Cricetulus griseus: one gene and its partner. The protein of the gene in region 2 interacts with the protein of the main gene of each other region in a biochemical or structural test. Links are inferred from orthologs where the notes say so. Each region holds a gene or a part of one and is shown on either strand. Other genes may lie near its edges.

Region 1 (4,220 bases), on a different chromosome or scaffold from region 2:
CTGGACAGGTGGGAAGGAAGCTCTCTAGGTAAAGAGGAGATGCCATACGAGGTACCCCGCCTGGGAGGGGCTGTCCTCGTTCACTGAGCCCTTTCCCTTTTCTCCAGGGCCACTTCAATCGGTGGTCGCGCCAGTGGCCGCCTTCTGAGCAAGCGTCCTGCCGGACTGCGTCAGCACTGGGTAAACAGATGACTGGCTGCGCGCCGGGCGGGGCTATTTAAGAGGCAGCCGCCCTCCAGTCTGCCCTGAACTTGGCTGGACTGCAGCCTGCTCTGCTGGAATCCGCCAAGCCAGCTGATCCCCCGTCAAAGGTAAGTCGGTGTCTGTGCTGGCCCATCCAAGAATTACGGGTGTGAAGAATACTGGCCCGTAGCTTTGCGTCCTGGCCGTATCATCTTTCTGTTTTCTGTGCCTTCCCTCCTTTGACAGCTGGGAAGATTTCCTGAAGTCAGAAATAATGGCTCTGGATTTTAAGATGCGCCTGGGTGGGTACTGCTGCGTGGAGACTTTATTCCTCTGTGTGCTGTCTAATGGCAAGGCTGGGATAGCCATTTCTTAGGGTTCCCACGATGTTCGGATCACTTTGCAATCATTTAAAAGGGAATGCCAAGAGGTTTTAAGACACATTCATTTTCTAAATGATGCAGGAAAAAAAACTAAGGCTTTGTGGCTAGAAAGACATCGTTAGGACGGTGCAGGTCCCATCAGGTCAGTTCTAGGTCGGTTTGCAAATGTGGTGGGGCTTTGGCCACAACTCAGGACTGGGCACAGAGTTCTGGGTTTTCTTTTGCATAGTGACTTCTTGTTCGTCCCCATAGAAACACCGAGGAACCTCTATAAACACAGCTTCTATTTATGCACCCATACTTTAAACCGCTTCCCATTGTCGTCCCATTCATTTCTGTAGAGACGGCTTTTAACCTGCATTTCTCTGCATTCTGCCTCTCTGTCTCTGTCTCTGTCTCTGTCTGTCTGTCTCTCTCTGTCTCTCTCTGTCTCTCTGTCTCTCTCTGTCTCTCTCTCTCTCTCGTGTGTGTGTGTGTGTGTGTGTGTGTGTGTGTGTGTGTGTGACCCACTCACCCACTCTGTGTTTTCTGGTTAGAAGAGAGATGGGCTATAAAGGTGCCCTCTAACTTCAGGAAAGCAGGAGGCACTGCTTCTGAACCTGGAAGTAAATGGGGTCTGTGCGGGATTCCCGGGCCCTGGGTGTGGATAACACAAAAGCCAGGCAGAAGTGTCCCCAGGCGCGCGGTGGCCAGGGCGCAGCCAAGGACTGGACTTGACTAGTTCTAGGGCATGAGCCAGGCTGGCGGCCACAGCCCCGCGTTCAGCCTCGGCGGACTTCGTGTGCGGGACTTTTGGCTGCAGCCCGCCGAGCTCAGCCCTTGGTTCATGACCCTCGCCTCCGCTCCCCACAGCCATGAAGAGCAGCGTGTGTCTGTGCGTCCTGATGGCAGTCCTGGCTGCAGGCGCCCTGGCGCAGCCAGTGGCACCAGCAGAAGCCGCGGAGTCGGCGGTGCAGCGGGCAGAGGAGGCCCCCCGAAGGCAGCTGAGGGCGGTGCTCAGGACCGACGGCGAGCCCCGAGCGCGCCTGGGCGCACTGCTCGCACGATACATTCAGCAGGCACGCAAAGGTAAGGATGTCCGCTCTGCCTCACGCGGCGGCTGCTGCTGCGGTCTGGGTTCCCATTCCTGATCTCCAAAGCACCTGCAGGGAAGAGGAGGAAACCAGAGCACACGAGGAGCAAGATTCTCTCTTTCCTTCCCTGAGGTACTCTGCACCGCACTGTGGCATCAGCAGGTGGTGTTCTCAGCACCCAAGAGGGGAGATGGGTGGAGGGCTTACCGCGTGGGTAAGAGGAGCGGGCTAACCCTTCTCGGAACTGACTTCGGCACTGTATTAGGGTTGAAGTCCAACACCGCTTTAGGAAAACACACACACACACACACACACACACACACACACACACACACACACACACACACACACACACACACAAAGTGCTGGTAAGAGTCTCCAGATCCGCCCTCTCCTCTGTGCTGTATATACAGCAGGACTGGGGACCACCCAGACACTGACCCTCGGGACCCCTCTGGCGTGAAATAGGTCAGTGCTGAGAAAACCTGAGACTTGAGACACGTAGCTGGCACTGTGTACATGTCCCCCTGTATGGCGCAGGAGGTAAGGGTCAAAGAGCAGCTGGAGTTCCCTTGACTGCCCAGTCAGGATGGCCACAGAGTGAAAGCTGTGTCTTACGTTTCTATAGCTGTCAGAAAGGTGGCCACCATGCTGACCACCTCAGGGATCTTCTCAATATTGGAAGCCGCCCCCCCCCCACGATCCCCGTGGGCTATTCAGCAGCTTGCCAGTTGAGGGTTCCTCTCCTGTACCCAAATCTCTCATCTTCAGAGAGGCGATGGGGACAGCGCAGACCAGATCCTCTCCCAGCTCGGGAGTCATGGCTGCCACCAAGACAGCTTTCATCTGACTTTATCAGCAGGGACATGGATGGTGACTTCTGGCTGGGGTGTGTTAAACTGGACCAGTAGAGTGAGATTTAACTTTCGAAGGTGGGCCCTTTGTTCTGTGGAGCTCATTTACTCAACGTGTCCTGTCTGATTTGAACAGCCCAGGGCATTGGGCTTGACTAGTGAGGGGGAACTGGGGAACTTGGTTGAGTTTCCTAGAGTCCCCCATGAAGATGCGACCAGGGGACTTCAGGGGAATCAAGAGATTTCTTATGTTTCTTCCTGTTTGGGAACTCACCCCACAGCCATCCCTTTCTAGGTTGTTTTCCTGCTAATTCAATGGAGGGAGGGAGAGATGAGAGAGAGAGAGAGAGAGAGAGAGAGAGAGAGAGAGAGAGAGAGAGAGAGAGAGAGAGAGAGAAATGCATACATACACACATACAGACACATACATACATACATACATACATACATACATACATACATACATGCACACACACACATACACACATACACACCAGGTAATAAGAAAACCTGGGAACGTGGGATGCCCCCTCCCCATTCCTTCTGATGTGGGCCAGCAGACCCTTCTGAAGTATTTTAGACTTTTCTAGACTCTTCAGTGAGCTGTCAGTCTATAGAACCTTTGGCCTGAGTTTGGGAATGCCCGAGCAGTTCTAGCAACAGAAAGCCTGGTTGCTGAATTATTGCCTAGAACCAACACATGACAGTGGTTTTCCCAGCAGCTGGAAGCCACTCCGAGCTCTCTTCTCAGACCCTGTCTCCCCTCAGCCTGTTGGACCCACTGAGCCCAGAAAGGAGTAGCCTTCATTTGAAAGTTGGTTTGCTCACACCCAGGGTCAGGGCTAAGTATAGAAGAGTGATGCCCACTTTTTGACAAAATATAAACTCAGGATCAATATTGTCAATACTGCACAATTTCTCTGAATATTTTATAAATGATTTTTTATTCAACTATAATACATACTATTCTTAAAGACTCTAGACGAGATACTTTTTTGAGTGATTGGGGCTTGGCTTTAGCTGGTAGACTGGCCTAGAATGCACAAAATCCTGAGTTCAACTCTCACACCACATGACACCCAGCCTGTAATCCTAGCATCGGGAGGTGGGGGTGGGTGGACCAGTTCAAAGCTAGCCTCTGCTGTGCAGCAAGTTTGAGGCCAGCTTGGGCTATGTAAGATCTCATATTTAAAAACAAAAAGTAAAATATGAAATAAAACCAAGCTTATCTTTAGAGCTTGTCTGCAGAGCCCTCAGTGGTCCCAGAGGAAGCCTATTCATTCCTGTGGAAGGTGGGGAGGCACTGGTGGTCCAGAGGGAAGTGTGTTCCCGTGGGAGGTGGGGAGGCATTGGTGGTCCAGGGGGAAGTGTGTTCCCGTGGGAGGTGGGGAGGCATCAATGGCACTAGCATCCAATGCTCTCTCCATGCATCTCTCTCAAGCCTTAAAACCTTTCTTCACATGAGCATCTATCTCACTGTCTTTCACTTATGAAGCCTGTGCTAAAGAAGGCAAATGCCATCTGTGCACACATTGGTGCATCTAGGAGGCAGCAGGAGTCTATACAGGTTTGACTTACGCCGCGGCCTGGAGGCCATACGGTTCCCAGCTCACCTGCTGCAGGAGTCAGATCACTTTGTCTCAGACCACTCTAAGCCCCTTCGCTGTGTAGTGCTGGCGATGGATGGAGGGTGATAACAACATGCCTGAGGACAGATCTGTGTAGGA
Region 2 (3,500 bases):
ACTCTCCGAGCCCTTCTGACTCACCCAGCAGCACTGGTTCCCTCCTGGGGATCCCACAGCCTCTTGTACATCTCTCAACCTCACTTCCTATAAAACGGTATGGCAATTTTCTGTGTAAGTATCTCAGATTCCCTCTTTACTGAAAGTTCTCAAATGGCAGGGAGTTTGTCAGTCACCTTTTTGTCCCCAGTGCCTGACACAAAGGGAGTCCTCTGCAAGAGTTTACAGAGTAAGAATGAATGTTTGAAGATTACTAAAGCACAACTCAGAGAGGAAAAGGGGGTTCTAATAAGTATGTAGGGAACATGGAACAGGCATGGGACAAAAAAGTGGGAGACTAGTTCCAAATGTGGTGCTTTCCAAAGCAGTGGCAATCAAGCTGATTCTTGGTAGATGAGGGATTTATAGGCATTTACCAGATTTAAGAAATGTTTGCTTTGGGGGGTGGAAGTAGGGGGTTTATGAGAGAATATTCATTCCAAGGATGAGAAATCAGCTTAAGAAGGGAGTCACAAGTGTTCATGATGCATTCAAGAAACTGAGTCATCAAGTGGCTTGAGTAAGTGCAGCTCTGAGAGGAGGTGCAGTCCTGAAGGAGGGGTTGTAGATAGTACAGAGTAATGAATGGCTTTTCTCTTTTTTTAGTTGAGGAAGGGCTGTTTTGGTTTTGTTTTCTGTTTGTTTAGAGAACACAGACATGATCCAACATGGTTCTAAGGGGAATGGCTGGTCAAGGGTACATGAAAGTATGATGGAATGGGCAGAGAAGGACCTTTCAATCTGGTATCTACAGATTAGTGATCTTGAGAAGTAGCCAACCAGTGATAGGGATAGGTCCTTAAAGTGTTTGCAAAGAAGAGCAATTATGGAGCCAACCATAAGGAGAGACAGGATTCTAAGAAATAGTAGTGTTGGGCCAACTCAGTTAAGCATTTATGATGGTAAGGCATTTACTGTCATCATTTACTACATAGCCTCTTAGGGTTAACAAGAGTGTTCTCAGGGTGCCAGGATCTAACCAGATATTATGGCTTGGGAATGAGGTGGAATTGGGGATCTGGATGAATGGTGCTCAAATCCTCCTACAACCAGCTTTCTCTCTTTTCTGCCTAGAATTGGAGCTGGCCATTAGAGTCACTCTTTATGCTGTGATCTTTCTGACGAGTGTCGGAGGAAATGTGCTCATCATTGTGGTCCTGGGACTGAGCCGGCGCCTGAGAACTGTCACCAATGCCTTCCTGCTCTCCCTGGCAGTCAGTGACCTCTTGCTGGCTGTGGCTTGCATGCCCTTCACACTCCTGCCCAACCTCATGGGCACATTCATCTTCGGCACAGTCATTTGCAAGGCGGTTTCCTACCTCATGGGTAGGTGAGATAAACACATTTCCCTCTTAGTCCTCTCCCTTCTTAAAGTACTTGACAAATACAAAAGTTTTCCCTGATGGGGGTGGAGGAAATCATACTGGTGAGCATGTAGGATGTTTGTTTCCAAGGTGACCATTTCTTCTCACCTTGCTTAGGAGTGTCAGTGAGTGTGTCCACGCTAAATCTCGTGGCCATAGCCCTGGAGCGGTACAGCGCCATCTGCAGACCACTGCAAGCACGAGTGTGGCAGACACGCTCCCATGCAGCGCGGGTGATATTAGCCACGTGGCTTCTGTCAGGATTGCTTATGGTACCTTATCCTGTGTACACCGCCGTGCATCCAGTGGGGCCTCGAGTGCTGCAATGCGTGCATCACTGGCCCAGCGCGCGTGTCCGCCAAACCTGGTGAGGGCACCCACCAGCCTATCTTAGGAGGCCCTTTTCCCATCTTCATCAGATGCTTACACTCCTTCCCCAGAGCAGTCCCCCAGCTCCTCCAAGAATTTTCCCACTAAGCCCCATTCTGCACCCCCACATTTGGGATTCCAATTTGGGGCCCCTTGCCAGCGTCACCTCCCAACACTACCTCTGCCTCGGCCACCCGGACACAGTCCAGTTTTTGGCTCTTCCTCTACCTGTAACTGGCTGCACAGGAGATTGTGATTGCTCTGTGTTATGTCTCCAGGTCAGTACTGCTCCTGTTGTTCCTTTTCTTCATCCCGGGAGTGGTTATGGCTGTGGCCTATGGGCTCATTTCTCGCGAGCTCTACCTTGGGCTTCGCTTTGATGGTGATGATAGTGACACCCAAAGCCGGGTCCGAAACCAAGGAGGCCTGCCCGGTGGGGCAGCACCAGGTGGGTGAAATGCATGACGGTGGGGCTTTGGTGATGGACATAATCTCCTTAGTGGGTGGATCTGAAAGAAGTGTAGAAAGGAGGCAGGAGCCCAGGGTAAAAGCTGTGGGGAAGGGGCGTCGAGTAAAAGTTGGACTGAGATTGGCATCTGCCTTCTGCTTTGATCGTACCCTTTGTGTTCTGTGCTCAGGGCCTGTCCACCAGAATGGGGCTTGCCGGCCTGAGACTACCCAGGCTGGGGAAGACAGTGATGGTTGCTACGTGCAACTTCCGCGTTCCAGACTGGAGATGACAGCTCTGACCACGCCCACTCCTGGGCCAGGCCCGGGCTCTCGACCCATCCAGGCCAAGCTGCTGGCTAAGAAAAGAGTGGTGCGAATGCTGCTGGTGATTGTTGTGCTTTTCTTCCTGTGTTGGCTGCCAGTGTACAGTGCCAACACGTGGCGTGCCTTCGATGGCCCAGGGGCACACCGAGCACTCTCAGGGGCCCCTATCTCTTTCATTCACTTGCTGAGTTACGCTTCTGCCTGTGTCAACCCCCTGGTCTACTGTTTCATGCACCGCCGCTTTCGCCAGGCCTGCCTGGACACATGTGCACGCTGTTGTCCACGGCCTCCACGAGCTCATCCCCGGCCTCTTCCGGATGAGGATCCTCCTACTCCCTCCATTGCTTCACTGTCCAGGCTAAGCTATACCACCATCAGCACACTGGGACCTGGCTGAAGGGTTGAGTGTGTGGAGGGTGAGACAAGACACATGATCCCTATAAACTGACCCATCCAAAATCATGAAACACACCAGGACTAATCCAGGTGGACATCCAACAGCATGGAGAGACCCCTACACACAGAAAATGCTCTTTGCTGCTCCACCTGAAACAGATAGTCTTGCACAGGAAAGAAGGCACACTTTTGATATGGGACTGAGTCCCACCCTAGGCACGTGGCACTGACCCCACTGGATAGACAACCGACAATGTCTGCAGCAGTGAATTTCTTCACACATGGGAGCTCTGACAAGGGCTGACTGGCTCCTCAAATGTATACATTAATGGCACTATTCTGTAGTGCCCATAGCCTAGTGTAAGACTGACTTAGGACATTGCAGACTGTCCCCATTTTGACCTCATCATTCCCTTCCTCACCCAGCATTGAAAATATCAATAGGATTAATCACATACCTTCCCAACGTGCAGACCTTTCAGCAATGAAAAGCCCCCTCATCCTTCTCCATTAGGGACTCTGGCCCTGCCCCTCTTCCTTCACCAGACCACCTCATAA

What was found.
Region 1: the proteins of Cckbr (region 2) and Cck form a complex in vitro, tested with the Homo sapiens proteins (3 studies listed by BioGRID). The link is inferred for Cricetulus griseus from reciprocal best matches to the Homo sapiens genes CCKBR and CCK.

What each region holds. Positions count from the first base shown.
Region 1 is NC_048597.1:228,506,700-228,510,919, reverse strand, and holds the start of Cck (cholecystokinin), read left to right. Parts: upstream 1-1,420; coding exon 1,421-1,634; intron 1,635-4,220. UniProt on the Homo sapiens protein: This peptide hormone induces gall bladder contraction and the release of pancreatic enzymes in the gut. Its function in the brain is not clear.
Region 2 is NC_048596.1:94,266,956-94,270,455, reverse strand, and holds part of Cckbr (gastrin/cholecystokinin type B receptor), read left to right. Parts: intron 1-1,113; coding exon 1,114-1,365; intron 1,366-1,520; coding exon 1,521-1,770; intron 1,771-2,050; coding exon 2,051-2,220; intron 2,221-2,272; coding exon 2,273-2,943; 3' UTR 2,944-3,500. UniProt on the Homo sapiens protein: Receptor for gastrin and cholecystokinin. The CCK-B receptors occur throughout the central nervous system where they modulate anxiety, analgesia, arousal, and neuroleptic activity.